Linked DNA regions of Oryctolagus cuniculus. The protein of the gene in region 1 interacts with the protein of each later gene in a biochemical or structural test. Links are inferred from orthologs where the notes say so. Each region holds a gene or a part of one and is shown on either strand. Other genes may lie near its edges. The genes, in order: DCN and TGFB1.

Region 1 (3,812 bases):
GATTACTCTTTTAATAAAGCAAAATAAACAGGATACTTACTATAATCACCAAGATCAATTTCATATTTTTGAACACCATATTAATTTTATAGCTTATGAATAAGGTTTTCTATTTCAAAATCAGTTTTTAATGAATATGTTCATTGAATATATTCTAGTTTATTAATGTCAAACAGAGGATTAAGTAAATTCAGTGTCCTGAATTTGCAAATGCATCAGAATGAAAGCTACTAGGACGTGGAAATATCAGACTTCTGACAGATCCCTATTAAAAAACTTGTGATGAGATTTCCGAATCCTTTATTCTCTGGAGAGTTTAAAAGAAAATAAAATGGATCTGTACACTAAATATTTTTTTTCTCTTTCTGTCCATTGTTAAAATTTTTCTTCATAAATGATAACTTGTGCCTGTCCTGATTTCTAACAACCGCAGTCTCTGTATTCACAATCTGGTTAAGTAATAAGGAAGGAAAGCACTGGGAAACTTTCTCAGCTGTATTCAAGAAGTACTCTGTTCTCAATCCACGTATTTTGCTAAATGTTCCAATAGAAAAGCACAGTATTATGCCACATTGACTCTCTTGTCTTTTTGTATATAAACTCCGTGTTGATGAATAAAAACGCAGCACATCCTTGTATCTTTGAGAAATGCCTATGAGCAAATCGATGCAGAACACAGTTTTCCTCATTTCCATGGCTATTTCCCAATGATTCCGTGCATGAAGAAAACTGAAGAGGACCATACGCATGTTACTGTAGCTAAAATATATTATCCTGGTGTCCCAAATAGTAAGAACTGCTTCATCTAGAGCTATTTTAATTACAGTCTCTAAGGATGAAAACATTTTTCACAATGACATATGCATCACCTGCACCCCTTTATTGATTAGATCCCTCTAGTTGCTGAAAAATGTAGGCAGATAAGTTGTGTTGTTTTCTGTGTAAATTTGTCTTTATGATGGTTACTGTTATTGAATTATTATTATAAGTGGTTACAGCAGTAGTAGGAATAAATAATATTCTGAAGTGATAAATAGACTATATTCTAAATTATTCATAATGGATGTCTTTTTGAAAGTTCATATTTGAAAGTGGTAAGGAGGTCATGAGATTCTGTACCTCAGTAATGATATGTCATATGCTTTGTATCAGATGGAAGTGTAGAGAGCTAATATATGCTGAAAAGCCTAATGGAAGTTCAAATTTCTCTTTAAATGGACTTTGGATTCCATGTGTTAAATTAGAGCACATTACTGCATTGGTCAGGCAAATTTCCACAGTTCTTTAGTTTATCATGCACATTGCTTTTAGAATCAAATCCATCCAGAAACATCTATATATTAAACCACTAAATATTTTTGGTTTTTACTCCTCATTGACACTGGAACATGAGAAGAACTTTGATGCTGAAAATGAAAATTGTAAAATGAAAGAATCAGCCACCGATATCAAAACATTGTTTCATAGAAAGTGTTCCAATTTGTTATTGAGAAAAACAAGTCAGGAGAAAATAGTGAATACCTCCATCACAAAGAAAAAAATTCCTTACTGAATATACAATAGGTAGCTGAGTAAAGGAATATTTTCCTTGAATTAATTATTAGATATTTTAAAACAAACATGCCAGTCCACACTGAGACTTGAAATACTGTGAAGAATAGGAAATACAATTTGAAATAGAAAAATGAAAACTCAGAAACAAGAGGTGAACATTCAAGATGGGAAAAAACCAAAATTTTCTGAGTCAAGATGTCAAGTTAATAAGCAAAAGCTGAGATAAACTAATGATACTATCAATTCCAATTGTTTCAAAAAGCAAAACATGATTAAAATTGGGCAACTCTACTTACCTAAGTCGACATCCAAATCTCTACAGAGTCCATTGATCATACATAGCTTAAATTTAGGAAAATATATCTTATGGTGTGCAGATACTATCCCTTTTATTGAAAAGAATCCGATAGATTCTTCCTCTCTCTCTGTCTCTCCTTGTAATATTCTGGCTCTGTTCCATTATCTCCTTGCCCCATTCCTGGCAGCCCTATCTGTCTGGTGAATTGACATCATGCTATTCTTGAAGATTTCATTTATACAATGTCGAATAGTCTAGCAATATCCCCATGTCAACTTTTGTGCCTGAATTCCCATTTACAAGAAGGGGATGTCACAGCAGCAAAAACCTCATCTATTACACCTTTAACTTAAAAGATATGAGCCAAAACCTTGATTGAATCAAACCTGCAGGGTATATATGTGGGGCGGAGAGATATCTAACTCAGTACCTAGGAATGCTGGGGCCAGGAAAGCTCTGAGAGACAGAGGACCACTGAGGAATGTTCTGCACCTCTTATTTCCAATGAATAAATTTTTAAGATATATGATTGCTTATTTTCAAAGTGACCAAAACAATACACTACTTCTTTAGGTTCTCTCTTAGATGAGTTTGCTATATTCATTATACATGTAAACCAATTCAACATCTATTTATGGGACATGACAAATTCTGAGTTAATACCACAGATAACATAGAGTAATCATTATTACAAGGACAGGGACACACATTGGAGTACCTGGGTTCAATTCCCAACTCCAGCTCCTGATCCAGCTTCTTGCTAATCCAGACTCTGAGACAGCAGTGATAGTTCAAGTAATTGGGCTTCTGCTACCCACATGGATGTGCTGGCTTGTGTTCCAGCTCTCAGCTTTAGTCCCTGTTAAGTGCCAGCCACTGTGGGTATTTGGGGAATGATTAAATGGATTATAGGATCATAGAGTGTTCTCTCTCTCTCTACCTCTCTCTCTCTCTCTGCCTCTCAAATAAGCAAATAAATTTTTATAAAGATTTATTTTTATTTATTTGAAAGACAGAGTTATATAGAGTTAGAGCCAGAGAGCGAGAGAGGTTTCCATCCGCCGATTTACTCCCCAAATGGCCCCAATGGCAAGAGCTGAGCTGATCAGGAGCTTCTTCTGGGTCTCCCACATGGGTGGAGGGGCCCAAGAACTTGGGCCATCTTCTACTGTTTTTCCAGGTCACAACAGAGAGCTAGATTGGAAGTGGAGCAGCTGGGACTGGAATCAGCACCATATGGGATGCTGGCACTGCAGGCTAGGGCTTTAATCTGCTGTGCCACAGCACCGGCCCCTGCATATAAAATTTTAAAAAGCACAATCCTCCAAGTTTTATTAGAGGTTGGCCATTCAAGGTTATAGAGTACTAGTACAAGAACTCATGTTTTTGTCAGAGATATGTCAAAGAAAGTAACTTTGAACTGAAACCTTAAGAATAAATGGCTTTGTATAGGCTTTAAAAAGGTGGGAAAAAGCAGTCTAAGCACAAGGAATGATAGGAGCCAAGTCAAGCTCAGCCTTTTCTATCAACTTAATTATTGACACAACACATGTAAGAAAGGCACCCATATGTGGTGTACAGATTCATTTCTGCTTTCCGTTGCAGGTTGGGTCTGAGTTTCAATGACATCTCTGCTGTGGACAATGGTTCTCTGGCCAATGCCCCTCATCTGCGAGAGCTTCACTTGGACAACAACAAACTTATCCGAGTACCTGGTGGTCTGGCAGATCATAAATACATTCAGGTAATACAACACCACTGCTTCCTATGAGGGATAACTTAGAGTAAACGCTCCCTACGCTTATGCTAAGAGTCAGGAAGCACTACTTAGAAATGTTGCTTGCAGAATGTCTTAGCTAGAGCTCTCATAACAAAATAGCATAAATTGAGTGTCTTAAACAACAAAAATTTATCTCTCATCATAATGGAAGCTGAGTATCTGAGATCATGGTGGAGGACT
Region 2 (3,849 bases), on another chromosome or scaffold:
AGAGAGACAGACCGGGGAAGGAGGCTCACACAGGAATAGGAGGGCCACGATGGACACACCCGCGGAGACACGCGAGTTTAGGGAAGAGGACGTGGCCTCCTCAGGAGAAACTCAGTGAACTAATTCACACCGCGGGCGAAGGAGAAAGCGGAAGCGAGGCCAGATGGACCAGTGGGTGGGGAAGGGGCGCCTTTGGACTACAGCTGCACATCAGGCGCGGGCGCGAGCCAGGGACCCCCAAGCCCACCGCACAGGACATAAAGTGAAACCTGGGGATTCACCCCAAGTCCCCAGGCCACGAGGCAGCCTGGGTCCCCGCGTGGGCGCCGACGGGGCGGGCCCACAGGCACCCCTCCCACAGCTGGGGGGAGAGGGGCGGGACGCGCCGCTGCCGCGAGGGCGGAGACAGACCTGCCTCGTCTCGCCCCAGGCTCCGCGCGCGATCCCCGCCCCCGGGCCACGGGAAGGAAAGGGAAGGGAGGAGGGGTGGCGGCCGGACGCTGGGGTTTCCCCAGCCTCCCCGGAGGAACTGCAACTCCGGGGTCCGCAGTGCCGGCCTTCAGCCCTGCGGGGTCCTCCTTCCTCTTCGGGAAAAGCGAGCTCCTCCCCGCCGCGCGTGGCACCCATGTGGGGCAGCCTCACCCCCACCTGCTCACTTTTTTCACCTGGGCCTCGCACGGGCGCCCCCGCCCAGACCTCCCCCCAACCGCTCCACTCCTCGTCCGGCCCCTCCCATCCCACAGCGAGCGGGTTTCGCGGCTCAGCGCCCAGAGCACCGCCACCTCCCCTCTGCCCCATCCCAACACACCTTTCCCACGCCCCTCCCCTCTCCGGAAGCCCCTTCCCCGACTCAGGAGTCCTGGTTCCTGGGATTCCCTGCTCTGTGCCTTCACTCCGGCTGCAAGCACGCGCGACCCTCTGCACGCACCCTGGGCACGCGCTCCGGGTCTCCGCTCCTCTCCCGTCAGCCTCCTCCTCCCACCGCCGGCCTCGCGTCCCATGCCCGCACCCGTCACGCAGACCACCGCCTCTTTGCCACGACCCCTGCAGTCCTGCGTGTCCTGTGCGCCCTGGAAGCAGGTCCACGCTCCTGGCACTTTGCTGCTGTTCGCTTTTGCTCCTTCCGTCTTTCTGTTTCGTGACCCCCAATTCTGCCCAGCTTTCTCATTGGCTCCCTTACCCACAAACTAGGGGCTCAGCCTCTACCCACAGAGCACCCCTCTCTGCAGCTCCCACCCCGCGACCCCCGCATTCCACGGGCCCTGCGGAGGGAACGGCTTCTACCCCATTGCCTGTGTCCCCCGGGACCTCCCTCGCCCCCGCGGGTCCCGTGCACTTGGCGCACTGTTCCAGGACCAGTCCCTGAGGGTCGGGGAGCTCAGCGCCCTCGTCTTTAGGACACGCCCTCCCCCACGTTCCCTGTGCACCCAGGGGTCCCCTTCCTCCCGCTGTGTCCTCCGCGGGTAATTTCCTCCCTGACCCCTGCGCTCCGGCGCCCCCTGGGGGCCCCCTCCCGGGTCCCCGTCCCTCGGAGCTCACTGTTGTTGCTGTCCACCATTAGCACGCGGGTGACCTCCTTGGCGTAGTAGTCGGCCTCGGGCTCCGGCTCCGGCTCGGCGCTCTCCCCGGCCACCCGGTCGCGGGTGCTGTTGTACAGGGCGAGCACGGCCTCGGGAAGCGGACCGGGCGGCACCTCCCCCTGGCTCGGGGGACTGGCGAGCCGCAGTTTGGACAGGATCTGGCCGCGGATGGCCTCGATGCGCTTCCGCTTCACCAGCTCCATGTCGATGGTCTTGCAGGTGGACAGTCCCGCGGCCGGCCGGCCGGGCGTCAACACTAGGAGCCACAGCAGCGGCAGCAGCAGCAGCGGCAGAAGCAGCCGTAGCCCGGAGGGCGGCATGGGGGAGGCGGCGCACCCCGGCACTGCCGAGAGCGCGAACAGGGCTGGGGTGGGATGGGGAGGCCCCGCCCCTGAAGGGGCTGAGGGTCTCCCGGGGTAAGGGAGGAGGGTCTCAGGGAAAAGTTGAGGCCCTCAGGAAGACAGAAGCAGGGGTGGAGGGGAGGCTGTGGCCAGGGTGTCTCGGTATCCCACGAAAGAAACGGAGACAGGCGAGTTCTACTACCAGAAGGTGGGTGGTCTTGAGTAGGGGAGCTGGAGCAGGGCTGAGACCCGTCCCCAGAGGAGGGAAGGTCCTAGGATGCTCGGGGTTCAGGAGACGGGCAGAAGGTGAGCCTGAGGCTGGGGCAAAGCCTTCGCGGGAGAAAGGGTCCGAGGCTCGGAGGGCTGGTCCGGAACGGGGGTCGCTGTGTAGGAGGCAGCGAGGGAGCAAGCGTCCGAGGCGGTGAGGAAAGGGGCGGCCTGGGGTCCCCAAGTCCTGCCTCCCCCTGGGCCAGCGCCGCGCCAAGCGGTCCCCGAGCCTCCGGCTCCCAGCCGCAGCGGAAAAGTCTCAAAACTTTTTTCCTCTTCTCCCAACCAGCTCGTCCCTCCTCCCGCTCCTCCTCCCCCTCCTCCCCGCAGTGGCGGCGGCGGCGGCGGCGGCGGCGGCGGCGGCGGCGGCGGGGGCGGCTCTTCTCAGACTGTGGCCTCGGGCTGCTCCTCGGCGGCTCCTTCCTCCGCTCAGCTGCGCTCGGGGCCCAGGCTCTGCCCGCGGGCAGCTCCGAGCCGGGGGGGTGCCCCGGAGGGGGCGTCCCCCCTGCCCCCGGTCGGGGGCCTCGCTGTCTGGCGGATCCGCGGCGGGAGGAGGGAGGGGGACGGACCGGGGCGCGAAGGGCGGCGTCGGCGGGGACCGGCCAGGGCGGCGGGGGGTTTTGAAGCCGCCCCGGCCCCACCCAGGAAGCGCGTGGGGCGGGGGAAGCCTCCAGGGGGCAGGGCGGGCGAGCGGACGGGCGGGCCACCGTCCTGATCTCGAGTGGGCGGGCTCCGAGGGGGGTCCCTTCTGCCCTGGGGGGGCGGGCACCCGGCTCCGCCCCGCGAACGGGAAAGGGGTGCTGCCTCCTGGCGGCTGAGTGCTACCAAAGCGGTGCCTGAGATGCACCATCACAGTGGGGCCATGCGCGGTGAGAGACCTGGCAGGGAGGGGACACTGGGAGGGGGGGACTAGGGCGAGGGGTGTCTCAGAACTGGAAGGGTGAGGGGCTAGGGCACAGGATGGGGGCCCGAGGAAAGAGGGCAGCAGGTGAGGGGGGCACAAGAAGGGGGTCACGAAGGCACTGGTACCTATAAGTTGCACCCACCTTTATTGAACCCTGCCCGGGTGCTAAGTAGCCCCTTCTCACCCAACCCCCGGGTGCTGGCATCCTTCCTGCCCCATTTTACAGAGACAGAAACTGGGCAGCAAGGGGCAGTTACAGGCCTGGAGGTCCTGGCAAGGACCGAAGTCGTCCCATGCCTTGGCTGCAGACAAGTCTCTGGGGCCCCCGATGCTGACCTCCGCGCCATCCTGACCCTCGCTGGCCGCGCAGGGGTGTGGATGCCGGTGACAGCTCGGGCAGAGCCTCAGCACTCAACACCGTAGCGGTCGAAGTGGCGCAGCAGCAGGCCAAGCTCCAGGTGCACAGTGCCACCCGCGGCTGTGTGCAGGCGGTAGCGGTCAGCCCCGCTGTAGATGGTGTCCCCGTGCAGCAGCTGCGGCCCACCGCCCACAAAGACCCGCGCCAGCTGCTCCCGCCAGCTGCCCAGGGGCCGCCACGTGGGGCACTGCAGCTGGTGGGTCCCGGGGCTGCTGGGCACATGGCAAAAGCCATAGCCTTCAAGCTGGCAGCGGCCAAAGCCATCCTGGGACCACACCTGGAGATGGAGCCGGGGCCAACCTGGAGGAAAGGAGGAGGGGAAAGGAAGGTGCGTTGGGC

The links.
Region 2: the proteins of DCN (region 1) and TGFB1 form a complex in vitro, tested with the Homo sapiens proteins (3 studies listed by BioGRID). The link is inferred for Oryctolagus cuniculus from reciprocal best matches to the Homo sapiens genes DCN and TGFB1.

Annotation. Positions count from the first base shown.
Region 1 is NC_091442.1:93,983,956-93,987,767, reverse strand, and holds part of DCN (decorin precursor), read left to right. Parts: intron 1-3,457; coding exon 3,458-3,596; intron 3,597-3,812. UniProt on the Homo sapiens protein: May affect the rate of fibrils formation.
Region 2 is NC_091449.1:13,277,728-13,281,576, reverse strand, and holds the start of TGFB1 (transforming growth factor beta-1 proprotein), read right to left. Parts: upstream 2,828-3,849; 5' UTR 1,901-2,827; coding exon 1,540-1,900; intron 1-1,539. Other genes in the region: B9D2 (B9 domain-containing protein 2), read right to left, coding at 3,497-3,810. UniProt on the Homo sapiens protein: Transforming growth factor beta-1 proprotein: Precursor of the Latency-associated peptide (LAP) and Transforming growth factor beta-1 (TGF-beta-1) chains, which constitute the regulatory and active subunit of TGF-beta-1, respectively.